Schizosaccharomyces pombe: one gene and its partners. Changing the gene in region 1 together with any one later gene gives a genetic interaction. Each region holds a gene or a part of one and is shown in the gene's direction. Other genes may lie near its edges.

Evidence for each region.
Region 2: of fbh1 (region 1) and rad51, a mutation in one rescues a mutant of the other (synthetic rescue), as found in Schizosaccharomyces pombe (6 studies listed by BioGRID, with this or other methods).
Region 3: of fbh1 (region 1) and rad57, a mutation in one rescues a mutant of the other (synthetic rescue), as found in Schizosaccharomyces pombe (4 studies listed by BioGRID, with this or other methods).
Region 4: mutations in fbh1 (region 1) and srs2 impair growth when combined (synthetic growth defect), as found in Schizosaccharomyces pombe (4 studies listed by BioGRID, with this or other methods).

What each region holds. Positions count from the first base shown.
Region 1 is NC_003423.3:2,729,092-2,738,070, forward strand, and holds fbh1 (DNA helicase I, ubiquitin ligase F-box adaptor Fbh1), read left to right. Parts: upstream 1-4,118; 5' UTR 4,119-4,204; coding exon 4,205-6,014; exon of another isoform or gene 6,015-6,054; coding exon 6,055-6,881; 3' UTR 6,882-6,993; downstream 6,994-8,979. Other genes in the region: xpa1 (X-Pro dipeptidase), read left to right, coding at 167-1,522; SPOM_SPBC18A7.02C (seven transmembrane receptor-like protein), read right to left, coding at 1,645-2,870, 2,922-3,000, 3,054-3,122; SPOM_SPBC336.16 (uncharacterized protein), read right to left, coding at 3,610-3,825; cdh1 (SSU rRNA dimethylase), read left to right, coding at 7,872-8,006, 8,065-8,853. UniProt on the Schizosaccharomyces pombe protein: Involved in ATP-dependent DNA-unwinding in a 3' to 5' direction, and ATP-ase activities stimulated by the single-stranded DNA-binding protein ssb1.
Region 2 is NC_003424.3:2,697,610-2,701,916, reverse strand, and holds rad51 (RecA family recombinase Rad51/Rhp51), read left to right. Parts: upstream 1-1,647; 5' UTR 1,648-1,812; coding exon 1,813-2,910; 3' UTR 2,911-3,807; downstream 3,808-4,307. Other genes in the region: rna15 (RNA-binding protein), read right to left, coding at 1-223, 264-288; rpp101 (ribosomal protein P1), read right to left, coding at 999-1,259, 1,396-1,464; SPOM_SPAC644.13C (Rab GTPase-binding protein), read left to right, coding at 3,822-4,307. UniProt on the Schizosaccharomyces pombe protein: Required both for recombination and for the repair of DNA damage caused by X-rays. Binds to single and double-stranded DNA, in the presence of magnesium, and exhibits DNA-dependent ATPase activity.
Region 3 is NC_003424.3:2,119,083-2,126,577, forward strand, and holds rad57 (DNA recombination mediator, RecA family ATPase Rad57/Rhp57), read left to right. Parts: upstream 1-3,947; 5' UTR 3,948-4,207; coding exon 4,208-4,274; exon of another isoform or gene 4,275-4,369; coding exon 4,370-5,367; 3' UTR 5,368-5,424; downstream 5,425-7,495. Other genes in the region: ATP-dependent 3'-5'-directionality DNA helicase fml2, read left to right, coding at 1-138; mde1 (5'-methylthioribulose-1-phosphate dehydratase), read right to left, coding at 280-488, 532-707, 756-833, 893-970, 1,014-1,037, 1,081-1,202; gpl1 (Gpl1-Gih35-Wdr83 complex RNA-binding subunit), read right to left, coding at 1,522-3,126; whi2 (phosphatase activator), read left to right, coding at 5,910-6,722; gih35 (ATP-dependent RNA helicase), read left to right, coding at 6,985-7,075, 7,119-7,196, 7,245-7,309, 7,358-7,495. UniProt on the Schizosaccharomyces pombe protein: Involved in recombination DNA repair and in the repair of gamma-ray-induced damage.
Region 4 is NC_003424.3:3,828,798-3,838,312, forward strand, and holds srs2 (UvrD subfamily ATP-dependent DNA helicase), read left to right. Parts: upstream 1-3,481; 5' UTR 3,482-3,977; coding exon 3,978-4,339; intron 4,340-4,404; coding exon 4,405-4,669; intron 4,670-4,689; exon of another isoform or gene 4,690-4,714; coding exon 4,715-5,145; exon of another isoform or gene 5,146-5,190; coding exon 5,191-6,796; 3' UTR 6,797-6,829; coding exon of another isoform or gene 6,830-6,875; 3' UTR 6,876-6,921; downstream 6,922-9,515. Other genes in the region: SPOM_SPAC4H3.04C (uncharacterized protein), read right to left, coding at 2,273-2,886, 2,978-3,159, 3,219-3,352; SPOM_SPAC4H3.16 (uncharacterized protein), read right to left, coding at 6,830-6,875, 6,922-7,129, 7,170-7,239; SPOM_SPAC4H3.06 (uncharacterized protein), read left to right, coding at 8,652-8,722, 8,771-8,954, 9,014-9,093, 9,143-9,203. UniProt on the Schizosaccharomyces pombe protein: ATP-dependent DNA helicase involved in DNA repair at least for UV-induced lesions. Also aids the recombinational repair of camptothecin-induced collapsed replication forks.

The sequences.
Region 1 (8,979 bases):
AAACTAATAAACGAAATAAAGCTTTTTAATTTAATAAAAATATATACAAAAGCGACGATATTGTAGCATCTTCGGTTAACTCAATGCTGTAATCTGATAGTCAGTAATATCTGACATACTATATAGTTCAGCACCACCTCTCTTCAATCAGCAGAATTGCTCAAAAATGGTTTCTTTTGAATCAAGTTTTGAACGAGGTACCGATTTTTTGAATAGAAATTTTAAGAAATGTCTCTTCGCATGCATTTCCATCTTCATTTTTGCGCTTTTAGCATTATCATTCCTATCACTGTTACAACCAGATACAGTGCAAAGGCTTTACCAATGCGCTGTTCCCTCAATGATTTATGTTCCACCGATGATTAATGAAGCAATTTCAATACAACATGAAGAATTCAACAATCGTAGGCGGAGACTTTCGGCTGCACTTCGTGAAGATAAGTTGGATGCTCTAATTATGGAGCCTACAGTTTCAATGGATTATTTTGCAAATATCACTACTGGCTCCTGGGGTCTTTCTGAGCGACCTTTTTTGGGAATAATATTTTCAGACGATGAACCCTATCCAGGAGACGTGGCATCAAGAATATATTTTCTAGTACCTAAGTTTGAGCTACCACGTGCTAAAGAATTGGTTGGCAAAAACATTGATGCGAAATACATCACTTGGGATGAAGACGAAAACCCTTATCAAGTTTTATATGACCGGTTAGGACCTTTGAAGTTAATGATAGATGGTACTGTGCGAAATTTCATTGCACAAGGTTTACAGTATGCTGGATTTACCACATTTGGGGTGTCCCCCCGTGTTGCGAGTTTACGGGAAATAAAAAGTCCAGCTGAGGTAGATATTATGTCAAGGGTCAATATTGCAACTGTGGCAGCTATACGATCTGTCCAACCGTGTATTAAACCTGGTATTACGGAGAAAGAGTTGGCGGAAGTGATTAACATGCTTTTTGTTTACGGTGGATTGCCTGTGCAAGAGTCACCGATAGTTTTGTTCGGTGAAAGAGCAGCAATGCCACATGGAGGTCCATCGAATCGTCGATTGAAAAAAAGCGAATTTGTCTTGATGGATGTTGGTACTACTTTGTTTGGCTATCATAGCGATTGCACCCGAACTGTACTTCCCCATGGCCAAAAGATGACTGAGAGGATGGAGAAGCTTTGGAATTTGGTTTACGATGCCCAGACGGCCGGCATCCAGATGCTTTCCCATTTATCGAACACAAGTTGTGCAGAAGTTGACCTAGCAGCCAGAAAAGTAATTAAAGATGCTGGTTATGGCGAGTATTTTATACACAGATTGGGACACGGGTTAGGATTAGAAGAGCATGAACAAACTTACCTTAATCCTGCCAATAAAGGTACGCCTGTACAAAAGGGAAATGTGTTTACTGTTGAGCCTGGAATTTACATACCTGACGAAATTGGAATTCGTATTGAAGATGCTGTTTTAGCATCTGATGTTCCTATTCTATTAACAAACTTTAGGGCAAAAAGTCCCTACGAGCCTTAATATTTATGTGATTTTTTGTGATTGTAACCTGAATTGGATCAAATAATTTAATTCATACTATTAACATTAGTAGTAATTGAAATAAAATCAACTCATCAACGAAAGAAATTGAACATAAAAAACTATTTTGATTTATCCGCCCTGATATCTTCCTCTAATAAATCTAACTCTTCTTCCAAACGAGGATCTAAAACCGGATAACTAAGGCCTGTAGGATCTAAATCGGGGTTTTCCTGAGATGGTCGCCATAAAGAAGATAATGTAATTAAGTAAGTCAAATGCACACCATCAATCCATCCATCTAAGAAATACCAGCGTATTTTCCAGAGTTTGTTTGTTGAGTTATTATTAGTGTTTGAGCAAAATATCAATGCAACTAGAGAAAATGAGAAAATGGTAACAACACCACACAATACCATTATTCGGAAAATTTTATAGATGCTATGCAACGTATAGTACCGTTGTTCAACCAACGCGCGAAGAGTTGAAGGTAACGCAACAAAGGCACCAAACAAGATATATAGCGCTGAAATACAAGCGGTGAGGAAGAAAAAGCAAAACCAAAGGCCGAGGTGAATAGATTGAATGGTAATTGCAAAGAAGCGAACTACAAAAAGAGCGAAGAAACAAATTATTAAAGGAATTTTTGCTTCAGTAAATAGTCGATCACGCATGTTAGTTGAATAACGGGTATATCCCCAAGAGAGTATTAATAATAACGCAAGGTCCAAGACTAACTGACACGCAAACAAAATTGACACCAGAGTCTCTCCTAACCATGTGAAGTTCCCCCGATTTCTCAAATTTTCTGTATCCAACACAATAGAAGTGACAGCCTGTTGAGCACACGAAAAGATTAGCAAGAACATAATTGCCTTTTGAACGGTAACAATCGAATGTTTATATTGAAATCGGAAAAACATCCAAAGTGCAAGAATTACACTATAAGCGATTGTGATTCCACCAGATATAGGCATTCTAGGGAATTGAGAAGCGGGAAGCCCACCATACGCATTTTGCCAATTGACAAGAGCTTGATAAGGTAACATTTTTTTCGAATGAGACCAAATGCAATAATAACCTGACTGAGAGATTTCATATATAATGTTTTGAGGGTCAGCATTTGTCGGAATTATATAAGAACGAATGGATTTTGCTGACGTTGAGTTCCACAAATATAGTCCCAGTTGATCGGCTTCACATAGGTGATCCGTGTATACCGCATCGTAATCGCAAATGTAAGTGAATTGATCATCAGAACGGAATGCACCTAACTTGCGGATTTCTTTCCAATTGAATATCAAAACCTCAACTTCATCTTCTTGACCCCATGGTTCAGTCCAATTCACTAACGTCGTAAGTTTTTTAAATAAAAGCGTAAAAAAAGATATGTACATACCATAAATTGCTGGATTTAAAGACCCTCCAGATTCCGATTTCGAGTAAATGCCATTGCACAATTCATAATGCTTGAAATTCTAGCAAGAAGCCGCAGTTAGCAAATGATACGCAAGAAATCTGATTGTTTTACCAGTAATGTTTTTTCTGAATAAACTATGGAAAAGAATATACTCCATAGAAGAGATATCAGTAATTTCATGGTTTATGATGAGAGCATTAGATTTTTTATACTTCGAAGGACTGGGAACAAAAATTAAATACCAATGTTATGTAAATCAATGTACAAAATATTTTTTCCCAAAACCGATTCACGGATTATCTGCCAAAGTTGAGATTCAGAAGTTGGTGGAGGTTATTGACTACTTAATAAATAGTAATTTATTTATAGTTAGGCGATTAGCAAGGTTCAAAAAATAGCTGAGAAAGGTGTTGATTCGAGCCTGGACATCAACATTTTAATTAATTTTTTCTTTCTATAAACAATTTTGCTTGACTTGCTGAATTTCGCTAAGGATCAACATCATTGACTACTGGTGAATTCTTTCTTTGTTATCGGCCCAGAAATTACCAACCGTAAAATGTATTTTCCGCAATTAAAGAAAATTGTGAGGATTTATCCTTCTATTCGGTTTCATTTAATAAATTGAGAGCATTGATGAATAAATAGACTAGGTGTAGAAAAAAATTTAGTTGACGAAGCCGAATTTAATACCGCATGTTGTCTGGTCTAAACTTCTATTTTTGGTGAAACCGGTTTCCATTAAAATATCAACAAAAGTGATATTGCTAAACGTGGCATTTATAGTGTCTAAAGAAAGTATAATAAAAACCAACCAAGAGGTCGTTGATGAGAAATAATTATATAAATAATTAGTTAAATCATGAGAATAAGAATGATACATCAATTAATAAAAAATTACAATTTACAAAATAAAGTAGAGGATTTTTTCAACACAAAAAGTAATAGAGTCTTTTTGAGTTAATTATTTATTCAATGAAACTTACTTTTACATAAGAAATTATGGGAATTCTTTCAATTTGCAGATGGTTAAAGTATTTCTGTAACGACAGCATGCTTCGGAGAGAAATAATTATATAGGTTAAGGAATGTATTTTATTTTAAAAGATTGGATTTATTTTAATGTTCGTTGCTCATTCATAAACTAGTTCTGGTATTTTTACTACTCTTAAATTTGCACATACCCAACCAACAAGCAATTCTTCTAATGCAATTTGTTCTTTCTTTTCAGTCAAGCACCCAGTCAGCAAATTCTTAGTTATATGAGTGCTCAACATTTACATAGCTGCAAATTTTATAGACTGCCACTTGAAATTATCCCATTGATCTGCAGGTTTCTTTCTGTTCAGGATATCCAAAGTTTCATACGTGTATTCCCATCCTTTCAAACTATTTTAGACTCTTCTAATGACCTTTTTTGGAAAAAGAAAAATTATGAGTTACGAATTCGTCGAAATCGATTGCTTCGTGGTTCTTATGCTGCTGGTGTTTCGAGCTCAGCGATGAATGGATTTGTCAATGGCACCCAAATTTCATCCACACCAGCTGAGAGAGAATACTATAGTAAATCAGATGAAATAAAAAATATTTGTGGGCTTCCCCCGGGTCCTATGAAAGTGGAACAAATTGGACATGCTATTGACCATCTTGTCAGTGAGACTCATACAGTTGATCATCTTGGAAGTTCTATTAAAGCATCTTTTTTTCACATAGATGATGTTCCTTTAGAATGGATAAGCTCAATATGCATGCAGGTTCAAAGCTTTTTCTCCCCTGCAGCTCGAGAAGCTATATCTTCTCTAAAAAGTAGGACTACTACTAGCAATCTGCTTTTAAGTTTGTTCGTAGGGATACTATTTGAAGATGATTTGTGGTATTTTTTCAATACGCTTTATATGCTATCTTCAACGTCCGCTATAGAATTTGCTTATTTTCTGGACTCTATCTTTACTGTAGTCCGCACAGATTATGAACATTATCGTGACCCACTTTCACAAACACTAATTACTTCGTGTACTAGGATTCACAACATTGTAGCTGTCATTGAATCCCCTTATGATGAACCTAACACTAAGGGCCTTACCTCTGAACAAAAAATGATTGTTGAATGTCAATTAAACCCAGGAGAGGTTCTAAAAGTTAAAGCATTCGCTGGTACTGGCAAAACCAAAGCATTATTGGAATTTGCCAAGTCTCGTCCAAAAGATAAAATTTTATATGTTGCTTTTAACAAGGCCGCAAAAGAAGACGCAGAATTACGATTTCCATTTAATGTCAAATGCTCCACCATGCATGGTCTTGCTTATGGTGCTATACTTGCACAGGCCGATTTGCCGCAAGCTAAACTTGAGCGGCAATTATCAAATTCTACTATAGCTTCACTTTTGTCTTTGCAAGTTGCATTTCCAAAGGCAAATCGGAAAAATAATCCGGGTACACCATCCGCTAGCTTGGTAGCTTCTCATATCATGTTTACATTAAATAGGTTCATGCACTCCACTGACTGGCAGCTTGGTTTTCGTCATATAAGTAAAAGAAGCCTGGAAGTTACAAAACTCTCTAAAGAGAAGCTTTTGGCTTATACAAAAAAATTGTGGTCTCTTATTGTAAACTTTGAATATACCCATGCTCCTCTCATACCTGATGCATATATGAAATTATTACATTTGTATGAATTCCCTAATATTTTTTCAAAATATGACTACATTCTTTTTGACGAGGCTCAAGATTTTACTCCGTGTATGGTCGACCTTATTTATCGTCAGAAACACGCCCGAATTGTCATCGTTGGGGATGCACACCAATGCATTTATGGTTTTCGTGGTGCAAATGCATGTGCTTTCAATGAAAATTTGTACCCTTCCACAAAGCAACTGTGCCTTACTAAGAGTTTCCGGTTTGGAAACTCTGTTGCAAAATATGCAAATTTTTTGCTTTCATTAAAGGGAGAGAACGTTAAGCTTAAAGGGGTACAAAATGACCATGCGTATTGGTCTTCAGCAAGTAATCCCAACAATGTTAGTGGAGCGTTTCGATTTTTTCCTCATACGATTATTTTTCGCACTAATAAAGGTTTGCAATGGTTTATATTGATAAAAGCTAACGTATACAGAATTAATCCTACAATCGATTCGGCTATCAGTGTCATTACCTAAGGAGATACCCATTGCTATTCTTGGCTCAATGAGGAAAAAAGCATTCCAACTTTTGCGAAGTGGTTCAGAACTAGCGCATGGGCAGCGCCCTTCGCACCCAAAGTTAAAAGACTTTTCCTCTTGGGGAGAATTTGAAGTGCACGTAAAAAACTCAGCCGAAGAAGATGCCGAATTGGCTTTAGTATATGATATGGCCGACGAATTATTTAGTGAAAGCTTTCTGAGCCGATTGGACAATTGTGAAAAAAGATTGATGGACTCTAAAGACGATGGTGACAACGGTATTATTTTGGCAACAGCACATCAATCTAAGGGTCTTGAATGGGATAATGTTCAATTGGGTAATGATTTTCGACCAAAATTTGATAGTGTTTCTTTTTCACGAATTGGATCTTCGAGGTACTTGCAAGAGGAAATCAATATCCTTTATGTTGCTCTTACGCGAGCTAAAAAACGCCTTATCCTTAATGACACTATAACCAAATTATACGCATTAGAGTGCGGACTTGTTCGTTTTGCTGGTGGCATTTTAACGGAAGATCAGCTGCAACCTGGAAAAGTTGCTCTTTTTGTCGACTGGCAGATTGACAAGTTTAGCTTTTTTTATGAAACCCCTGCTGAAGGATACAATCTTTTGGTCGAAGCAAATGAGAAATCAGTATGGGATATATTTTTTGGAGTTCTTTCAGGCGCTTGGCAGAACTATATTGCGAATACATCTGAACGGCTTAAAAGATCGATGCTATTTATTGAAAATCAATTGTTTGCTGTACATGATCAGTAGAAACTATTTGATTTGTTTCTTTTAAAATCTATTTTAGCCATATTGATTGATGTACTATTGCTATTACAACCTTTAATATATAATCATTTAATAATATGTATATTCGTGTGGACATTTTCATTATAGAGCTATGTTACTATTTCGCTTATAAACGTAAACTCATATCAATCTGTCGCTGCACTTTCCATGTTAGAGTTAAAAGTAGTTGTAGTATTACACACAGAAAGCCATGGAAATAACCCTTCGTGTAAATAAACAGAAGATCAAGTTATATTTGTGCTTTAAAAGATTCCTATTAAGTGAGTCGATGACCCAATTAAGTGTTTATACCTAAAACATACATAAAGATGATTTCAAAAACTAGCAAGCAAGAAATTACTTCCCATCATCTGAATTCCCACGCAACGCTAAATAAACAAAAAACAAACTTTTGATACTCTCGTTAAGTGGCTTTGCTAACAATATAACGCAGTTATAAACAGTTTGTATTAGAATTAAGGTACCGAAGGTCGTTTGCCTTTATTAGCGTGTCAGCATACTACACTACGTTGCGTGTCACTATATGTCATATGTTGGAATACTAGTTAAGATCCGTTTGTTGATAATCACGGGTGACTACCCGTCTATATGAATAGATTCCTTTTGTTGACAAGTGTCTATAAATATTATAAATAGAGCTCCAACTGAACTGAGGAACGAGGTTCAATTATAAGCTATATTTGTGATAGGTAACATTGAAACCTAGATAATACAATACCTATACTCAGATTGCCTGCGTATTGCAATATGATAGGTCACAAGAAAAACTTACGGCACTTCTACATATCGTTGAAAACGATACCAAACTGTGTAGTTAACATTTAAAAATTAACTTACTTCGCTAACTTGATTACGACTGAGAAGAATTTGCTTCACTAAACGGCAGCAGTTTGCAAACCTGCGAAACTAGTTTTTGCCCTGTACCAAATCCTTTTGGTTACGAGAACAGCCATGGGAAAGATTCGGGTTAGGAATAACAATGCAGCTTCTGATGCAGAAGTGAGGAATACAGTTTTCAAATTCAACAAAGATTTTGGCCAGCATATCCTTAAAAACCCACTGGTTGCTCAGGGAATTGTGGATAAGGTAGGTAAAATTGCGATAATTTTTCAACGAGGTTTATTTTCTAACATAAGACAAATAGGCTGATTTGAAGCAATCCGATACTGTTTTGGAAGTAGGACCAGGTACTGGTAACTTGACAGTAAGGATGCTTGAGAAGGCGCGTAAAGTAATTGCTGTTGAAATGGACCCCCGAATGGCTGCAGAAATCACCAAGCGTGTGCAAGGGACACCAAAGGAAAAGAAATTGCAGGTGGTACTTGGTGATGTGATTAAGACCGACCTTCCTTACTTTGATGTATGCGTGTCTAATACGCCTTATCAAATTTCCTCACCATTGGTATTTAAATTATTACAGCAGAGACCGGCTCCTCGTGCGGCAATTCTTATGTTCCAGAGAGAATTTGCTTTACGCTTGGTTGCAAGGCCTGGTGACCCTTTGTACTGTCGATTATCCGCCAATGTGCAAATGTGGGCTCACGTCAAGCATATCATGAAAGTTGGAAAGAATAACTTTCGACCACCACCTTTGGTTGAATCAAGTGTTGTTCGGATAGAACCAAAAAATCCACCCCCTCCATTGGCTTTTGAGGAATGGGATGGTCTGTTACGGATTGTGTTTTTAAGGAAAAATAAAACCATTGGTGCTTGCTTTAAAACCTCTTCAATTATCGAAATGGTCGAAAATAACTATCGCACGTGGTGTTCGCAAAACGAACGCATGGTTGAGGAAGACTTTGATGTAAAATCTTTGATTGACGGAGTTTTACAACAATGCAATCTTCAAGATGCCCGAGCTTCTAAGTGTGGACAAACAGAGTTTTTGTCTCTGTTGCACGCCTTCCATCAGGTTGGCGTTCATTTTGCTTAATGGGGTCAGGATGGGGTTTTCCATTGAAACGTTAAATATTGGATCATTTATGGGTTTTTGGGATAATAACTTTATGGAATGTTAGGTAAAAACAGAAAATATAAAAAAATTAAAATAGAAATAGGG
Region 2 (4,307 bases), on another chromosome or scaffold:
GCGGTTGGGAAATCTACACGCAATCTACGTGTTCCAGCATCGTAGTTGTTAAGGTTTCGAACTGCAGACGCTGCAGTAGCAGGATCGTGATATTCACAAAACCCATATCCCTTTGGTTGCCCTGATTCAGGGTCAATGACCAACTGAAAGGATTTCACAGGTCCACTTTGCTTAAAGATGTCAATGACCTGTTCCTCAGCCATTTCATAAGGAATATTGCCCACTACTTATTAGAATTACTTTTAAACAAAAATTTAACTTACCATAAACCACACATGATGGATTCATGTTGTATGTGGTAGAGGATAGCTGAAGCCCTCGCGTCTTCCTTGGGACGGTGTTAGTAAAAATGGGCAAATGATGTGTCGAATATTTTTCGGAATCAATCCCAAAAGTAATATCAACTTTAAAGAGATAGCTAAATAATTTTATACTTCAGCCAGAATTAATAAAAGCATCGCATACACAGTGCCTAATAACTAAGAACTCATTCATTCAGCAAGAAATTTGTGAACAATAAATGATAATATCTCCTTTCATACTTACATTTTGCAAACGCTAACTTGTAAAAACCTGCTTAATGTATAAAGATCAGCCAAAAACCTTACACTTCATTTTCCAACTACGGTCCTAATTACAAAGGGCCACAAACTCCTACACTCCGAGGCCGAGATGTATTAAAATTTCAAAATAGCGCTATAATGCTTATTATTAAATATTAGTACTAAAACACTCCTACCGATTAACTTGAAAAATTTAATATCAAAATATGCAGTTCGTACTGTGAATCAATTTACACCTGATAATATTACTTCACATATGTCTGAAAATCACCAACATTGGCCATACAAATAGTTGGCGCAGATCAAAGGCGGTTTCATAAAGATTACTCGGTCTAAATTTTTAATTTCAAAACACAAGAAGATATTAAGTGAGATATAGAAAAATGGTTATTTTTTGAGTTGGATCAACTAGTTCATGCTAGCAGATTAGGGAAATTAGTCAAACAAACCGAATCCCATATCTTCATCAGATTCCTCCTCTTCCTTGGCTTCCTCCTTCTCTTCAGCAGGAGCTTCGCCATCAGCGGCAGCGGGAGCAGCAGCACCGCCAGCAACAGGAGCAGCACCAGCACCAGAGCCAATGTTTAATAAAAGTTCCTTAAGGTCCTTGCCCTCAAGAGCCTTAGCGAAAATGGTAGCCCAAATGGGTTCAACATCGACGTTGGCAGCCTTGGTTAAAGACAAGAGCTTGTCAGACTACGCAACAATTAGTATAAATTAATTTAACAAAAACCGAATAAGAAGGAATAAGACGACTACACGCTATGGAAAAGATCTTTTACCAGTATCGGTAGAAGTACATTCACAACTTTTCTAGTAAAATATAACGTACGGTGATTTCAATACCCTCGTCAGCCAAAATGAGAGCTGAATAACTGGTAGCAAGTTCAGATGCAGACATTTTGACCAGTGCTGTTCTCTTGTTGTAAATGCAAGTGTTAAAAAACTGTGTTTTGTTTCGTTCCCTATCTCGTGACTATTTTTACAGCCCTACCCTAATGTGTGTGTCTATTTAGTAGGTGTTACCTTGCTAGTACTAGGTAACAATTGATTGAAAACGCGTCGGACGCGTTTTAATTCCTTCACAATCCCTACTAAGCAAGAAAATTCTTGCCATAAACCAATTCTTTCTCTAACAAAACTATTTCCTTGATTTATTTTTTAAAAACCTAATCTTTCTTTTCTTTAATAATATAAAAAACTCTTTTCAATTCCAGAATAGTGATAATTTCGTGCTTAACAAGTTATAATGGCAGATACAGAGGTGGAAATGCAAGTTAGTGCAGCAGATATGAATAATAATGAAAATGGACAAGCACAATCAAATTATGAATACGACGTGAATGTACAAGATGAAGAAGATGAGGCCGCCGCCGGTCCTATGCCCTTACAAATGTTGGAAGGCAATGGGATTACTGCTAGCGACATAAAAAAAATTCATGAAGCCGGATACTACACGGTGGAATCAATTGCTTATACTCCTAAGCGACAACTACTTTTGATTAAAGGAATTTCTGAAGCAAAGGCTGATAAGTTACTTGGCGAGGCAAGCAAACTAGTTCCTATGGGATTTACCACCGCCACTGAGTACCATATTCGAAGAAGTGAATTAATTACGATTACAACTGGATCAAAACAACTAGACACTTTGTTACAAGGAGGCGTTGAGACTGGAAGCATTACAGAATTATTTGGTGAATTCCGTACCGGTAAAAGTCAAATCTGCCATACACTTGCGGTAACCTGTCAGCTTCCTATCGATATGGGTGGTGGTGAAGGTAAATGCTTATATATCGATACAGAAGGAACTTTCCGTCCTGTTCGTTTGTTGGCTGTTGCAGATCGATATGGCTTAAATGGTGAGGAAGTTTTGGATAACGTTGCATATGCTCGTGCTTACAATGCAGACCATCAACTAGAGTTGCTCCAACAAGCGGCAAACATGATGTCTGAATCCCGATTTTCATTGTTAGTTGTCGATAGTTGTACTGCCTTGTATAGAACAGATTTCTCTGGTCGTGGAGAGCTCTCTGCTCGTCAAATGCATTTAGCAAGGTTTATGCGGACGCTACAGCGCTTGGCAGATGAATTCGGTATTGCTGTTGTCATTACTAATCAGGTGGTCGCCCAAGTGGATGGCATTTCCTTTAATCCTGATCCCAAAAAACCAATTGGTGGTAATATTCTTGCCCATTCGAGTACCACTCGACTTTCTTTGCGGAAAGGTCGTGGTGAGCAACGCATTTGTAAAATTTACGATAGTCCGTGTTTGCCTGAGAGCGAAGCCATATTTGCCATTAATTCTGATGGTGTTGGTGATCCCAAGGAAATTATCGCACCTGTCTAAATTATTTTAGTATCGTTTCATTTTTATTTATTATTTTGCAAATTCTATGGGATGAGTTTGTAAGGATAGATATGTATGTGATGCTTTTTTGATAATTTCCTTACGATTTACTCTGTATCTCATATTTTTCTTTCAAGTATGCTCTTAAAAAAGAGCAAAAACCATTTGATCACACTTATTAACTCTCTGCTAAATCTTCATTACGTTTATTCGCATTAAACTATCAGGTTTTTGTAATTGCCATTAATTATGTTTGGGTGATTGGGTTACATTGGTGAACAAAATGTTTCACTTAAATTAATATTCGCTAAAAGTTTTTCATAGAAGTTTTCGTTCTTTTTTACATTTAAAGACCTATATGATTATATTTATCTCTACTACCCAAAAATGCTTGTCTTGTTACAAATTCAAATAAAAAATTAAATATAAAAAGTTTGCTATGGTATTAAAGTAAGAAGAATTTCTTTCTTTTTCTTTCTTTTTTATACTAAAGAAGCCTAAGGATCCACTTGCATTAAAACGCACGCAAAATGCTAAATTCTTGAAATTTTTACTATTATTTTGAATATTTGCATTGACTAAAGTAGGACTTCATGTTCAAGCTTCATTGAACTTCTGGGATTTCGGTTGCTTTACTTAATACAATATTCTTTTTCTTCTTTATGTATTTATTAGCACACTTTTATCAAAAATCAATTCTTAAGAGGATATATTGTAAGTTTTAGGAACATAATTAAATTTTTATTAGATTCACTGAAATGATAGTTAATTGTATCTTTAGGATTCATGGTGGTGGTATCTTACTGTTTTGAGGACCAGCATAGTAGTGTGCTACTACAAAATTAACAGAGAAATGTACCAGCGAAGTACCAAACCAAAACCATACTCAATTACCATCTTATATTTTAGAAATGACAGACATAGGAAAACATAACACAGAAATAGAACAGGATGAAATGGAAAATCTTCTTCGCATGGATCCTGTTCGATCCAGCCTCGATGTGGAGTCTCGAGCGATAGAGCCGGACAACATTGCTGGAGAGTCAATTGTTGAAACAAGATTCACTGGAGGAGATTCTCTGGACGAACCCATTCGTGTTACATTATTTAATGAATTTAGAGCTATTGGTGAAAAACTCGTCTATGTTTTGTATCCCAAAAATGCTCAAGTACTACGCGACTGGGACTTGTGGGGTCCTTTGATTTTTTCCCTCGTAATTGCTTTAGCACTTGCCTTGTCTACTGACAAGATTGAACGAGAATCTGTTTTTACAGTCGTTGTCGCGCTCATATGGTTTGGGGAAGCGGTTTGTTCTTTAAATATAAAATTACTAGGGGCCAACATTAGCATTTTTCAATCTATGTGTATATTGGGGTACTCCTCTTTCCCTTTAATG
Region 3 (7,495 bases), on another chromosome or scaffold:
ACGCTCAGCATCTATAGACGGGGTAGACTTTTGCAACAATGCTCGCCTTCCTCTGTCACCAAATACTTAAAATATGAAGAGAAATTTAAACGGAAGCGGATGAAGAAAACGTCGAATGCATTATTTCAAAGTACATGAAATTACTGATTAAATACCTTAAAGAAAAAAATATCATAATCCGAAACTTTAGTAGGAACTTATGTGAGTTTAAGCTTATTTATTTGTTATATAGTAACTTTTACCTTAGAACGCAATGTCTTTCAAGCTGTCACAAAATTTCTATTCTGGTTTTTGAAGCCTTCTTCTCCGTAAATAAGCTTGGAATAAAAATTCTACCGCTTCAGTATTCATTTTGGTATCTTGCCACGTATCGCCCCAGCAGTAAATACCGTGATCTCTAACAATTACAGCACAAGTATCTGGGTACAAATTGATCGCTTCTTGCAAACTATCATGAAGATCAGACTCATGAGCAGTATTATTGATAACTATTCGGTTAGCAGCCTTTTATAAAAGTTTGTAAACTCATACATGGAATTTTTATCTTATCTGTTGGCTTATGAAACCCATTATTTTTAGATCCTTTTGGAATATACGATAGTACTTCAAAACCTGTTGCCGAAAAATGATCAGAATCCGCAAATAGAGTAGACAATAAAATGGCTTCCTGAGAATGGGTATGGATACATGCATATGCGTCACGCAAGCTACTGCTTTAGTAAAGAATTCAATGTTCAACAACTTTGCTGACTTACGTGTATACTGCTAAAAACAAAGGTGTACACTGAGAAGGTTTCAATCGAAGAGCTGGCATTCGCATATATTCTCGAGTACTGCAAGAGGTTAGCATCTACTCAAAATGATAAAAACAATGACAATAATAATATCATACATTAAAGACATGACAAAAAGATGGTGTAACTCCATCCTTTCCTTTTGTACACCCGAGGGAGCGATTACAATGGCATCTCTACATGAAAGTTAATATTTGACGCTTTAATAATGCTTTGTACCCAGAGCGAATGGTAATTCCTCCTCTGATTCTTTTATTAGTTATATTAAATTCAAATTAGTAATTACCCAGTTCCTGTAACCCAGCCCGACGTATACAGATCTCGACAGATTTCGCAAATTAATTCACCACATTTTTTCAAATCGCCAGAACGAAGACATCCTAAGTCTTTCTTTAGAAAATCATCCATTATTACTATGATGATAATTATCTTGATGAAAAATTTTGAAAAGGGTCACGTTTCATTAACGTTTAAAAATTTTTAAGTAGCAAAAGTAACTGTGAGTTTAATCTACGCGACATTAAGCAAACAAAGTGAAGTAAAGAATTGATGTGTATAATAGCTATCTTGATAATTATTATTTTTTTTTATGAAATTATTAAACATTGTGTCATGGCACTTGAATAAATAGGAAGTACTAAGTTTTTGCTTAAAACAAAAAGTTTATTACAGTCTATTAACCTAATGAAAATAAAGTACAATAGAAATCAATTAATAATTTTTTTATTCAGTCATCCCCAAATATTGCACTGAAAAGAGTTTGGGGAGCTTTTGGTTTTTCTTCTATATCCTGGGGTCGATTCAACTTCCTTGTATCAATTGAATCGATACTTTTGTTTTCAATTTCAGCAATAATAGGTACATTTTCAATAGAAGAAATATTTTTACGCTTTTGTTTTTCTTGACCGTACGGTAAGGCGACATTAAAGCGTTTACAAAGAAGACGTTCGGGAATGAATGTAACAACTGTACGAGGTCTTCTCAAAATTGAATCATCAGTTTCACTATGTGAATTAATCGACTCTTTTTTAGTCGAGGCTTCAAAAGAACTTACGAAACGCATCGATAGATTTTTTGACATAGGTCGGTATAGTGAAGCTGTTTGAGTAAATTCTAGTAAATGACGAGAATCAATATCTCTGAGTAATCGTGGCATATTCATTAGGTGCGCCTTAAGGAAAATCTCGTAAATTCCGGCACGCTCATCGTTATAGGGATTATCTTTCCTAGACATTGCATTTTTAGCTGTCTCAATGTCAATTAGTTGCCAAGATCCCTCATCTTCCTTGACACCATGATTAACATCACTAGGTAAACTTGCTTCACCGTTGGAATTTGTTTCACTTTTCTCAGCAAAAAGTGGTAAGCGCTCATTTGAAGTTTGGGCTTTTTTTTGTGAAAATCCTTGAGAATTTGTAAAAAGTTTTGGCTCCCAACCCTCAGGTATTGTAGGAGGAGGAAACCAATTATTTTGAAAAGGTGATTGTAAATTAAATACCACTACAAATCCTGGAAGGGGAGGTAGACCATCTGAGCAATTTTGCGATTTGATTATGCTTTTCCCTTTGCTTCTGTCTTTTTTTGACAGAAAGGTATGCTTAACGGGTGTAAATGGAGAAGCGACTTTTTTTGTAATGTTGATAGATTTATCATACCGCATTTTTGGAGCACCGAGGTCGTATATATCTTGATCTTCTATCCCATCATCATTTAAAACACCTGATCCAAATCCACCGCGCAGATTTTTTGCCATTCCAACTGGTTTTCTTTCCAGCTGAAAAACATCGTCCGCTTGATACCCGATACCGTGATAAGCTTGGTTGGTTAACTTAGTGTCATCATAATACCCTTGAAATGGAGATATAACAAAATCATGACCGTTCCATCCAAGATTTTTTAACATTTTTTCGCCAATGCTATCGTCCCTATTTGAGAATTCTCTAAGTAGAGGATCATCAATTGGTATAGATGTATCAATCGTATTTATTTTCGAAGTATAAACTTTACTAAGCTCTTGGTCAGCACGATCTTCCTCGTCCATAATATCGTCAATAGTCATTCCATGCACACTTTTGTTTTCATTCCTTGAACTTTTCCAAGATTTAGGTTGCCAACCCTCTTTTGAACCAACCGTATTAAAATAGCCAGCAGAAAATCCACCAGTAAATGCACCATGAAATCTCTTTCTATTACGCTCATCCCTGGCTTCTTGTTTCCAAACAGGAACTCCTTGATTAATTCTGGACGGCTCAAGATCAAAAGGGGAGCCATAAACTACATAAGGGTGCCGATGAACATCGACATTGCTTCTTTTTCTTGAATTGGCATACATTTTAAAACAAGAAGTAATCGTGATCCGTAGTTAAACTGAAAAAAAAAAAATTCAAAATTCAAAATTTAAGGCATATTTTAGGATACTATAAGCCCATTATTTTTGAGGCGACAAGAATACTATGTTGAGCAACTTTTAATTTTTAATAAAGCCAGATAACTTATCAAAGAATTCTGATTTGTTGACAAAAGCAATTACAATACTCAATTTTTAAACAGTTGCCCTTGCTTCGAATTTCAGCTGCCTCCGTAGTGCAATCTGCGAGCGTTAGGGTACGTTATTTATCTATTACCTAATTCTTTGTACAGTTGAAGTTTCATGAGATGAAAAATGTATCATGTATATTTTGTCTGTTATTGAGAAATCTCAACAAAGTTCTATTTAGTATTACTTCATGTTGAACCAAGCATTCATAAACTAAGAAATTTGTTGGTAGCTGGTAAACTGAGCGAATTATCGTCGGTTGATTGGTAAAACATCATTTCTTATACTTCGTTTGCTCAACCATACTACGAATTTTAATGCCTAACAATTAATGAGCAATACACATTTGGATATGCTGCTTATATAATTTCACATATCTTGATAACTTAATTATCAATTAAGGAATGGTGGTTAGGCAAGTATGTGTATCATTACGTGGGGTTTTTCATAGATGTATGGTTTGAAGATGTTAAAAAAATAAGTGTAAGCGGTTACTATGCTAATGTTCTATAAAAACCAATGTTCATATAAATATTCGTCGATTGCGGGGCTTCTTCTCATAAGGATTATAATTACTAAACATAGAGGTATTGGCAGGTCAGTTGTAATTCGCGTACAACATCTTCGACTCACCACTTCTATAGTGGTACATAAATTACCGTTTCTTTCTGCGAAAAAGTGGGTTAGAAGTTCGTGCTATTACTTCTAAATAATCGTGAGAATTTAATTCAATCGTAGGATACAAAGCTGTTCATTATATAAAACTATCAACTTTCGAATATTCTATGGTGTGGATATAATTTTCATTTATCTTTATGAGTAAAAACTATACATATCATATTTACAATTAAAAATCTTCTTTCTTTCTACTATATGGATGGATATTTCGAATTATGTTGACAATTTCTACTTTGATGAGAAAATTGCTTCAGCATTTGAATTAGGTAAGCGTTTAGTAGTTCAATAAGCTTGCACATAAAAAAAAAATATTGGGTTTTTGTACCGGGATCTTAAAAGACGGAATTACTGACAGCTTTAGGAGAAGTAAGCACGGTTGATTTGTTAACGCTGGATATTACTGAGCTAGAAAGACGCACACATTGTAGTCAAAGTGAGTTATTACAGTTAATTGAGCAGATATCCCTCCTTCTTCAACCAGTAAGATGTTCTGCTTCCAAAGTCACTTCGAAATATTTGACAACTGGCGATGTAAAGTTGGATGAAACTCTACATGGAGGTATACCAGTAGGACAGTTAACTGAAATATGTGGTGAAAGCGGTTCAGGGAAGTCACAGTTTTGTATGCAGCTTTGTTTAATGGTTCAACTACCTCTCAGTTTAGGAGGAATGAACAAAGCAGCTGTCTTCATTTCTACAGAGTCCGGTCTTGAAACAAAACGATTATTTGAACTGGCGCGTTATTTACCAGAAAGGTATCCCAAAGCTGATAAGAAAGACATAATTATAAAAAATCCAGGAGATAGGGTGTATACTATATTATGCCCAGATCTGGAATCTCAAGAACATATCATTCAGTATCAACTGCCGATTTTATTCAATCGGGATAAAATTGGGTTGGTTATATTGGATAGTGTCGCCTCCAACTACAGAGCTGAGCTCCGTTACAACCGATCCAAAAGTCATTTTAGAGATTTAGATAATATTGCCAAACGTGGAAATCAATTGGGAAAGTTAGCTATGACTCTACGCACTTTAGCTCATCAACATGAAGCTGCTGTTGTCATAGCTAACCAAGTTAGCGATAGAATTCCTAGAGATTATGATGCTATTGGGTTGTTTAGTTTAGATTATCAATCGCAATGGTTTTCGGGATGGGATGACACAGATCCAAATCCCAAAATACCATCTCTTGGTCTCGTTTGGACTAATAACATCAGTACGAGATTAGCATTAATTAAGAAAACCGACTCTGCCACCAATAATTCGGGGAGAATCTTTCGGGTTGTTTATTCACCAAATTCTCCAAGGCTTGACGTACGAATATGCATAGGATCGGTTGGGATATATTCGTGCTAGCATTTTTGTAAAAATTTTATATATAATATAATAAAACCGGTTTATGAATTGCCCTAACTTTGTTTAATCGACTGTCGCTTATCAATCATTCGCAGAAAGAAAAGTAATGCTTTGAGTAACTGTTACATATATAAGTGTACTTATTTATCTTTATATTTATATTACCTCTGTCACTATTAAATATATATTTTGTTGATCTATGATGGTAGTGCATTTTTATTAGAATCCGACATACTTTAGTGGACTGAATTTTGGATATACCAGTTGGGTATTGAAATGGAAAAAAATACAATAAAAAGTTTTACACGTAACAAAGAATGCCCAAAGAGCTCTCTTAACCGACGAATGGCTTTTTCTACCTGTTTTTACTATTGCGCGTAAAAGATTTTGTAAGACCTTTCCGATAGCTTCCGCTATTGGCGATCCTTTAGAAATTTGCACCTAACATTTTTACCAAAAGCCAAGTATGCATTGGTGATATCTTGTAAATAAAAAATGAACATTCTTTTATAACATAATCGTTACAAAAATAGAACACAAAAATGTCAGTTCCAATTGATCGAATCAATACGGTTGACACTTTAGCCAATACACTGGAAAGTAATTTAAAGTTTTTTCCAGAAAAAATACATTTCAACATCCGGGGCAAACTAATAGTCATTGATCGCGTTGAACTTCCAATATTACCAACTACCGTGTTGGCACTTCTATTTCCTAATGGGTTTCATCTGCTTTTAAAACATGAGGGAGGTGATGTCTCATCATGTTTCAAATGCCACAAAATCGACCCTTCCATTTGTAAATGGATTTTGGACACCTATCTACCATTATTTAAAAAAAGTAATAATGCTTATCCCTCAAAAATTGCATTTAATCCTATATCGAATACTACCCTCGTTTTATTCTTAACAGAATGTTGCAATATCTATTTATTTTCTGAAAATAAAAAGCCCGTCGACCAAAAAATCAGGAGCGACTTATTAGAGCAAACTTTCAAGAACAACGACGTTTTTGAAAGTGCAGACAAAAAAAAAATCCGAAAAGGGCTGAGTGATGGACCGCTAGTTGATGCATTACAGCATTGTGGATTTCGCTACAACGATAAATGGGCCAAGAGAGTAAAGGAGCCAAAATTAATGAGCTTAATGTCGTATATCATAACAACAGTCGAGAGCTCCTCATTAAGCGAAGAATTTTTGAGTAAAATTTTGAAGCTATGGGGACAGCCAGGTAATAAGTGCTGGTGGATAAACGAAGTTATAAAAGTAAACGGATCTTTAATCAATGTTTGGAGGAGAAAGCAGTGGTTGTTGGAAGTTACGATTATGGGAAATCGTGAAAATTCTCAAGACTAAGTGTTTTAGTAAAAATAAGATTAAAAAACATTTTGCTAAGTTAGGCCGTGCATGCAGCCATTCTTTTAACAGATACCAATGTTACGAGGTTTCCCAGATTTTACTCAAATTGCGTGATAATTATTGTAGTATATTTATTTTGAATAATAATTTTTTATTTGAATTTTGTTAATACTGTTTTTTATAAATATTACAATACGTTCAATCTAGTTGTGGTAACATGAAAGTGCTTCCACTTACTTGATGCTCTCTACGCAAGAGTATGCCTAATGAGTTTATTTCCCAATCGCTTAGTACTCTTACAAATACACCCTTAAATATTCAGAAAAAGCTATTACCAATCACCAAATACAGTATGTAGCTGTTTTACCCTTACATTGCTGACGTTACATTTAGGAAACCAGTTGTTATATGCAGTAGAGCAAAATCAGATTACTATAGTGTTAGGCCACACAGGATGTGGTAAAACAACTCGTAAGTATTTTGATTAGATGGTTTATTAAACTAAAAATAATCTTGAAGAAATCCCTCAATTTTTATACGAAGCTGGATGGGCGTCCCAAAACGGTATTATAGGATGTACACAGGTTAGTCACAACTTTGTTTATTTATCATCCTCCTAACTTATTTGAAAGCCCAGAAGACTCGTAGCAAAGAGCGTCTCTGAACGAGTATCTTTGGAACTGAACTCTCCTCCTGGAAGTTTGTGTGGATATAGCATTCAATTTGATCATAACGTTTCTGAAAAAACAAAAATAAAATATATGACCGAT
Region 4 (9,515 bases), on another chromosome or scaffold:
AGAGTAATTCTTTAAAAAGAAAGAACAGTTGGGACTATTCCTGTGTTGACAGGATTGTATTTATTATAGTTTTAATGAAATGTTCTTCCGTAAGATAAATACTTCTTATGGAGACGAAACGAACAGTTGTGCTTCCCGGTAAATGAAGAAACCCCTCTTTTTGTTTAAAAACCCGATAAAAGTTTTCAATCCTAATAAAAGAAAACCGTATCAGTGATGATGCTTTCCGTTAACAATTCGAACACGTATAGAAATAAAATCAAAGCGGCGGAACGAATGAATCAATTGTTTTCAGCTCTCAAAAGTTTAATGAAACAAGAATTGGCTTTCAGCTTTTCAATCTGAAACAAAAAATCGCAAAGCAATTGCCGTTGTAAATTGATTTAGTCAACTGGCGGAACAAGAACCGTTAATTAAAATAGAGTTAATCAGTTCCTTAAAAGGAATAGTTTTCCAATTTTACAAATTTCTTATACTAACGAACGTTTAGAGATCAAGGTAATTGAAATGTTGTTTATTGTATGTTATTGAATCGCTTTGGGGTGTATTTTAAGGAGCACCGCACGATTTGGAAATACGTGCATATGACATAATTATATAAGAGCAATACTGTACAGTGTACTTCGCTTTCGCTAATTAGGTAGTGAAGTATATGGGATGATAAATGTGGAGTAAATTAAAAACCCTTCGACTGCGATAAAGTAATTAAGGAAAACTAACGTTTACGCAGTGATTTTTTGAAAAGTATCCTTTTTAACATTGTCTTTTGATGTTTCTCCTACTGTTCATTTCGTTTCACTATTTAGTAAATATCTGTAATGAGAATAAACAGTCAAGGATTTTCTTTCATAAGACGTTCGTTGATTCATAACTGAAGAATGAAGGGAGGGTACTTAGAAACTAATGAACTGCCGTCAAACATATTTAATTATAAAATCGCCAATTGCATTGTAGTAGTTTAGTGCAACAATACCATACACAAAGCTCTCACGAGAGTTTACATTATATTACGACTACCATTACCAACTAAATCTGTCTCATTTTCATAATAACAAGTAAATCCAACTATTATAACATTGGCTAAAATATTGCTTAATGTTTTTTAAAGATAGTCAAGTAACAGGAAGTAGATAAACACGTTTACTAAAAGATTGGTATAAAGTTGAATGCTGTAAAGGCTTTCGGAGTAAATACCATCAATTTCACTAACACTAGCAGGTAGAATCCCTCTGTTAACTCGTAAAAATCGTGCATACTAATTCAAATATTTAGCTGTAAATATCCTTCATGGACATGTAATGATATTAGGAGCTAATGAATTTGCTAATGCTTGTTGTCCGACGTATATAGCTAACTCATACGCTCTATCAGATGGGTTCCGTATATAAAATTCTTAACCAAAGATATGGTTAGTTTTAAGTATTAATAACTAGGTTGAAATTTTTCTAACTTAATTGATGAATATTAATTCTTTGTATACTATCTTGAGAATCAGTAATCTCAGGGCTGAGAAAATACTCTGCCGGTAGACACTATACGGTACTTCTTAAACGTTTAAATAAAAGTAATTTATACAACAAATGTCTACGGCCATACCTAGGCGAAAACACCAGTTCCCGTCCGATCACTGCAGTTAAGCGTCTGAGGGCCTCGTTAGTACTATGGTTGGAGACAACATGGGAATCCGGGGTGCTGTAGGCTTCCTTTTATTCATTTTTTTTTTGTTTGTTTTTGTGTTAATTTATTGTTAAACATGAAATTTTTGTATTGAAATTTTGTCTTGAACTCGTTGAGGCTGTATAATTTTCAAGCAAAGCTGGAAAGCATACTAGTTTAGAAGGTTATGCACATGCATGAATTGACTTTGATAATATAATAATGTTTTCGTTACTAATCGTGTAAAAGAAATTTGTTCAGAATATCAAAAACAGTAGTTTTATACATAGTAGAAAGATTTAAAAATTGATTAATTCTCAAGAGAGACCAATTGATACATACAGAAAACAAAAAAATTATATAAATGGAAAAGGGTATGTTTCGTAAATGTTGCAATTGAGAAATAAAGCGCATTTCATTTATCGTAATTTGCCTAGATCAGAAAAAGCATTGCAAAATTAGCCTCCTGAGTATGAATCTGATGATAATAACTAACAAACACAGGTTGCATAATACATGTTCCGATAATTTTCGGCTCTCAAATACTTAAATATATGATCGTTTCGCATCAGCCGTTTCAAGTCATGAAAAAAATAATAATAAAATATCAACAATACTATGCGGTTGCGGTTGCATAGCTAACGCTGCTATCGGTGACCAATTCAACATGGCTACTTTGAGCGTACGAAATAAACTTGAATCTTTCAGAGAAATTGGCGCATTCCATAGATTTCATAATGAGTTCTATAGGGTAACGGCCGCATATGGTGTTTTGAGTGGTTTTCAAATACTCTGAAAAGTCATCACTACTTTTCGTTTCAATAATTTTCATACCAATATGATCCAAATTAGATATAGACTCATAAATTTTGGGACTAGTGGGGCCACCTCGTCTTTTGTATTTTAAGACTGCATCCTCTAATTGATTCGTATCGTTCAAATAAAGGGTATATCCAAATCTTCTTCCCCAATGACAAAAATCGGAAGATATAACAAATGAATTTGATTCATCTTTAATATACTGACTCAGAAATTTCGCTGCTGCCATCATTGTGGTTGAAGTTAAGGCACCTATCATGATAGGAACAATTTTGACTTTTCCCAAGCATCCTTGTTTCAGCAAATGAAAAGCTAAAAGAGGGAATTGCATTTCGAGGCTATGTTCACTTTCATCCACATCCAAGGTCATTGAGTCGAAGCTGTTATCGCTAGCGACGAGTTTCTGACATACTATATAAATTTCCAGTTAGCAAATAATCTGTGCTGAGAAATAGACAGTAGCAATTTAGTAAAACTACTAAGCAAAACTGTTTTCACATACAGTCTTCATCCACTTTCAAATCACCTAAAGGTGTTGAGCAGATGCTAGCTCGACTGACTAGGCATTTTCTAGTAAAGATGTGATGAGAAGGCCCAAAAACAAAAACTCTCTGAATTTTCGAAAAGTCCAATTGCTGAAATCCTTGGGATGCGACTTTCCCACTATACATGTAACCAGCATGTCTGCTCAATATTTAGCTATATACTGAATATCACATAAATTATAAGTTGTCTATACGTACGGTGAAATGACAAACCGTTTCCCAGTCTCGGGCGTTGGGTTTTTGATAAATGATTTTAATTGCTTAGTTAGTAATTCTGTATCATCCAAATACCAAGATCCTGCATGAGTTGCTTCACGAATGGCTTGTGACATGAGATAAATTGAAGAATAATATTGATACGTTCAAATTGTAATTCGGTTTGTGATGTTCGTTTGACAATGGGTATTATTTTCTGAACAACACACTGTTACATATATCTTGCTTTCTTGCCTTCATCATTTGCGTTTTGCTGCACTAACACCACTTTTGGGAGGTCGAAACACAAGACTAAGACAATCGCAAAATCAGGTTTTCACACAATAAAATCATTACTTAAGAATACTGAATTGAAAGGCTTTCATTTGTTATACGTTCACGATTTACTCAAATTTCTTGTAGTAAAAACAGGTGGATTAAAATCTTTTTCGTATCCGTGTATCAGCCCTTTCGCGCTGGTAGGTCAATCGAGAATACTAAGAAATTGCAAGTGTTGTTTTCAACTAAATAAGGGTTGATCTTCTAAATTATTTCACCTATGCTATGCTTTCGTTAAAATAATAAGTATTTGTTAATTTTCTTAGTTTGACGTGTCATCGTTTCACAATTTAATATTTATTACCCGACAACTCATCGGAAAAGACCGTGTTTGGCCAAAAATCTTTGCATTGTTTTCCTATTTCTCACTTTTTTAAAATATACATTTGAAGCTGTCGGTTGAGTGTTTTGTTCTTCTCAATTATGGAAACGAAATCATCATACTTGAAGTTTCTGAATGAAGAACAAAGGATTAGTGTTCAGAGTCCTCATAAGTATACTCAAATTTTAGCCGGTCCTGGGTCTGGAAAAACCCGTGTTCTTACCGCTCGAGTAGCCTATTTACTTCAAAAGAACCATATTGCAGCCGAAGATTTAATTATAGCCACCTTTACGAACAAAGCCGCAAATGAAATAAAGCTCAGAATTGAAGCTATTTTGGGGAATAGTGAAGCCTCTAAGCTTATTTCTGGGACGTTTCATTCTATAGCGTACAAGTATTTGGTTAAATATGGCAAGCATATAGGGCTATCCTCAAATTGGTTGATTGCTGACAGAAATGATACGTATGTCTTGTTTACACTTTTCTAACTTTTACTTCTCCACTTTCAACCATTGCTGATCTATTTAGTCAAGCTATTATGAAGCGACTTTTAGACTCTCTCAAGAAAGCTAAAAATCCGATTGCTTCTGGTATTAGAGGACAAGAATTGACTCCTCAGAATGCTCTAAATCGCATAACTAAATTAAAGTCCAACGGTCTTCTTGTTAAACCTGGAATGGATCAGTTGAGTTTGATTAATGGTCTGGAAGAACCACCTAAAGAGCTTCAAAGCCATCAATCTGTTGAATTGTATAGACTTTATCAAACTTCCTTATGGAAGAACAATTTAGCGGTACGTAACAAGCATAAAGTTGTATGTATATATCTAACTATTTAGGATTTTGATGATTTGCTTTTAAACTTTATTTTATTACTTCAAAAGCAACCAGATTGTGTGAGGAATATAAAACATATTTTAATCGATGAATTTCAAGATACTAGCAAAATCCAATATTTTCTTGTTAAGCTTTTGGCATTGCAAAATTCAGATATCACGATTGTTGGCGATCCCGATCAATCAATCTATGGATTTCGAAGTGCTGAAATTAGGAACTTAAACCAAATGTCTGAAGACTTTGAAGGTACCCAAGTGCTTCATTTGGAAAGAAATTACCGTTCAGCTAAACCTATACTTGAATTAGCACTGTCTATCATTTCACAGGACAAAAGCAGGCCTAAGAAGGGGCTCAAAAGTAATCACATCTCTTCCTTAAAGCCTCATTACCGATTGTTTGAAACTAACAATAAAGAATCTTACTGGATCGCAAGGTTCGTATGGCTTCATTGCATGAAAGTTTACTAACGATTCTTTAGAGAAATTAAACGTATAGTAGGTTCTTGTCCAGAGCTTATATTTTATAACGATATCGCAATCCTTGTAAGGTCCTCCAGCCTTACAAGAAGTTTAGAACATGCACTTTCCGAACTTGGTGTGCCCTACCGCATGGTTGGAGTTAACAAGTTTTTTGATAGAGAAGAGATTCGAGACTTAATAGCTTACTTGAGAGTCCTAGCTAACAAAGATTCGACTTCTTTAATTCGTGTCATCAATGTCCCTCCTAGAAATATTGGCAAAACAAAAATCGACCGTATTATTTTCGAAAGTGAAAGAAGAGGATTGACCTTTTGGCAAACTTTAAATGAAGTAAAGAATGAAAATATTTTACTTTCTCAAAGAAATGACAAGAGTTTTCTAAAGTCTTTAAAGTCTTTTCTTTGTTCAATCTCCAAACTTGAAAATCGTTACTTGTCTAATGGGCACTCAGCAACTCTTAGTGATTTACTTTTGGGAATACTTTCTGAGATTAAATATTACGAATACCTGGTTCGGAAAAATAAAGAAACTGTCGAAGAAAAATGGGAAAATGTAATGGAGCTTGTACAACAAAGCGATAACATATCTTGTATATTCTATGAATTAGATTACAAAATATCAACAATTGTTCTATTGCAGAATTTTTTGACTCAAATCGCTCTTGTGAATGAAGAACAGAAAGAGGGCGAATCTCAGAAGGTTACCATTTCAACCCTTCACGCAGCTAAGGGTTTAGAGTGGCCTGTTGTATTTTTACCTTGTCTTTGTGAAAATATTATCCCTCATTCTCGTTCAGACGACCTCGACGAGGAAAGAAGGCTGCTATATGTCGGTGCCACACGTGCACAGGCGCTACTGTATCTATCTTCCTTTAAAAGCGTCACTGGAATGTTTGCAGATATGCAGAACTCAGACAATGTACAGGACGTCAGTCCATTTTTAAAAGGAGAAGAAATGAAAAGATGGGTGATGGAAAGTGAAATAGTTTTTAATGAAAAGATTGCTTCTGAAATTGGAACCATATTGGGTCGGAAATCTTATGGGAAAATAACTAATTTAAGCGGTATTGGTTCAAATGCAAATCATAACGGAACTAAATTCGAAAACTTGGGCTTCCAATGCTGTCGTGTTCTAGCTGAGGCAGAATTGAAAAAGAGAGAACGAGTCAAAAGTGTCAATGACTATAATAAAGATGAAACAAATTTTAGAAAACATAATGCCAAGAGATCGAAAACCGATATACGAAGTTGGTTTGAGAAAAAACAACCAATCGATTCAGATGTAGAGATTTCTGAGCCGTCAAGGTCCGCAAGCATAATGGTTGCAAATAAAGATTTAAATGATCGAAGTTTTGAAACTGTCAATCGTATTGTATCGACAAGAGCCTCAACGACAAACGCTTCTTTCATGAGCAGCGTCAGACAAAATCTTGGTAGAGGTCCTTCTACGAAAGATCAGGTAATAAATAGAACGTTGAGGGAAGGTCACCAAGATGTTGTGCAACATACTGACCTTAATCAATCAAATACTAAGGTCGCGAGTGCCCGTCCTGCTGGTTCGAGAAAACGATTGGGTGTAAGGCTACGAGTTTCACGAATGTTATAGTCATATCATGTTGTACAAAATCACGTATTATATTTATAGACAATCTAAACACCTTGCTACGGTGTTTTCTTTAAAATACCTACATATAATGTCAGCTTGAAAATAGATACAGATAATAAACTTACATTAGAGTACTACAGTTTCGACAAATATTTCGTTGGCAGCGATCACATGTAGAAAGATATAATACGTTATCACAAAATTCGCAAACACCGGTAGATGAAGGCAGATGGTCATTGTCAGTAACAAAATTAACCTTTTCATTTAAAACGATAGAAGAGGCATCATGGGCATTACTTTTTTTGCTTGCAAACAAACTAAGAAAAGATCTCACTTAGAAGCTTAGTAAAAAATCGCTAAATTCTTCACTTACTATCCAAATGATTTTTACACTTCTTTCTTGGTAACCTACTAGGAACATGTTCAGAACGACATCTTTTCATAGCTAAATCTCGGATACTTCGAGTTTCAAAAAAATGTGACACGTTGTTCTACCCTCTTAAAGCCTTATCGAGGTGTTGTTTTGTTTTTGTGGAACGCGGACTAGATGGCTAGTGCATGGTCTAATGGACTGTACAGGAATGGTCAAATAGGCGATACTTCTTGTCAAAATATAGCACTAAATGCATTTTTGAACCCTGTATATATTCGAAAAAAATACAAATCGTCCTTATTAATACATTTCGTAAGTCAAAATGAAATTGCTGAAATGAATGTGTTAAGGTAAAGCAAATATAGCTAGATTAAGGCTCATTTAAACTTAAATTGAGTAATATTTTCTTAATGTTTTTACATTTATCAGTAAGTGCTCCTTCGAAATGCCTTGTCCAGCTCATTGAAATTCATGGGTCATACCTTCAAAGGCTGAAGTATGAAATCAGGAAGGATTCACTGAAATAAAGAAGTCTTTCTGATGTCTGATTTGAGTATACGATAAACAAATGTGAATGTGCAGATATGAACAGTATAAACCATAGAAAGCCATGTCAAAGCCGAGGAGATACAGATGTTCTACATAGATTTGCAGACAATCCTCCTAGATATTCTATGAGAAAGGAGAGGAAACCTTGGTTTTGCAGCTTCTATATGGAAAGTACAGAGGGGTTGTCTTGCTTAACCAAAGTAAGAAAGAGGCAATCAGAGAAGATAGCCTACAGAAAATTATAATTCTCAATCAATTTATTTAAGGTAAAAACCTCTTATACTTCTGATTCTTTTAGTGCTGCTATTTAATCTGTAATTATACATTATGTCTCCATGTTTGACCAGACTGAACAATTCACAATTTAGTAGGATCTCAAATGTTATTCGGGAAATAGTTGATGGTATTGAACTATAGGATATTAATAAAGTTGTCACGTGTAGACGTATATTAACTTGTCAAAGATTGTTTGAACATTGTGAATAGCAAAATGGATTAGTTATTACAGTAGGCTTTTCAGTAGGTACACACGACGTAGACATATGTTTTAATAGATATTTTCCATCAAAAAGAATTAGGTCTATTAACACGCTCTTTTCTAATAGACCTCTTAAATGTCATTCACTTGAAGTTTGTACTTGTAAATCAAAACATTGGAAACCTGATAAATTGGACAGTTAATTAATTAATTATTCAATCCTTTTCATTATAGAAAACGTTTTTTCTGAATCTTTTTTGCTATAGTATACGCTGTGTTAGAATATGATTCAATTACTTAATAACGACTATATTTTGTAACAATAACTATAAATAATAAGAGTCATATTACTATAAGTATGTTATGTCGAAGGAAAATTACAAACAGTTTTACTTGATTGCAAAGGTGGACTATATATCTGAGACAATTAACTCTTAATGTATCATTTACCAGATATGGAGGAAACTGTAAATAAAATATTGCGAGCTCAAGAAACGAGAGCTCAGTTATACAAAGAACTGGAGGAGTAAGTATTTTCAAAGATATATAAATAAAATAGGTCTAACAAAGGTAGTGCTCTCAATGCAAATCAAGAGAAAAAAATTGGACTTGAGCAAATGGGCATAATTGTTCAACTGGTGACTGAAGGTTTAAATGAAGTTTCTTCTGATATTCGAAACTATCAAGCATCTCTTACTAAGGAGCTTAAACTATTGGTGGATTCTTTACAGGAAAAAGAGCGCTCTAAGCTACAAGCGGTAAATTTTTTTTCATAAATCTTTCTATGCAAGTTACTTACAATGTATAATATTTGCAGACCGTCAAACTTGAGCAGTTAAAAGTTGTTTCTACTAATTCACCAGTTGAGAATACGCAAATTTCAGAATTGGAAGCTAGGTAAATTGAAAATTGAATTATCCAGATATAACTAACAAATAATTATTAGACTTTCTTCACTTTCTAAAGAAATCAACGATATCTTACAAAATATGAAGGATGAAATATGAAGAAAATTGGTTTAATTACTATGGCATATCCAAGTTTTCTCTTTAGCAAGAGTAACATTATGAAGTATGATTCTGAATTTTCTTAAATTTAGAGAAAGTAAAAATTCTACATTAGAAATTTAGGGGACAGTCAGTTCAAAGGTCTCCTTTCTAATCATACTTGTAATTGAGATTGTAACATTCAGTGCAAAAGAAAAAAATGTTATTCGCGTTTTGAGCAAACCGGCAAGGTATGAATAGTATTCTTCAAGCCTTTAAATGTCAAAAACCCATCAATTTTAATTCCACCTGGTTGTTCGAAAACTAATTTCT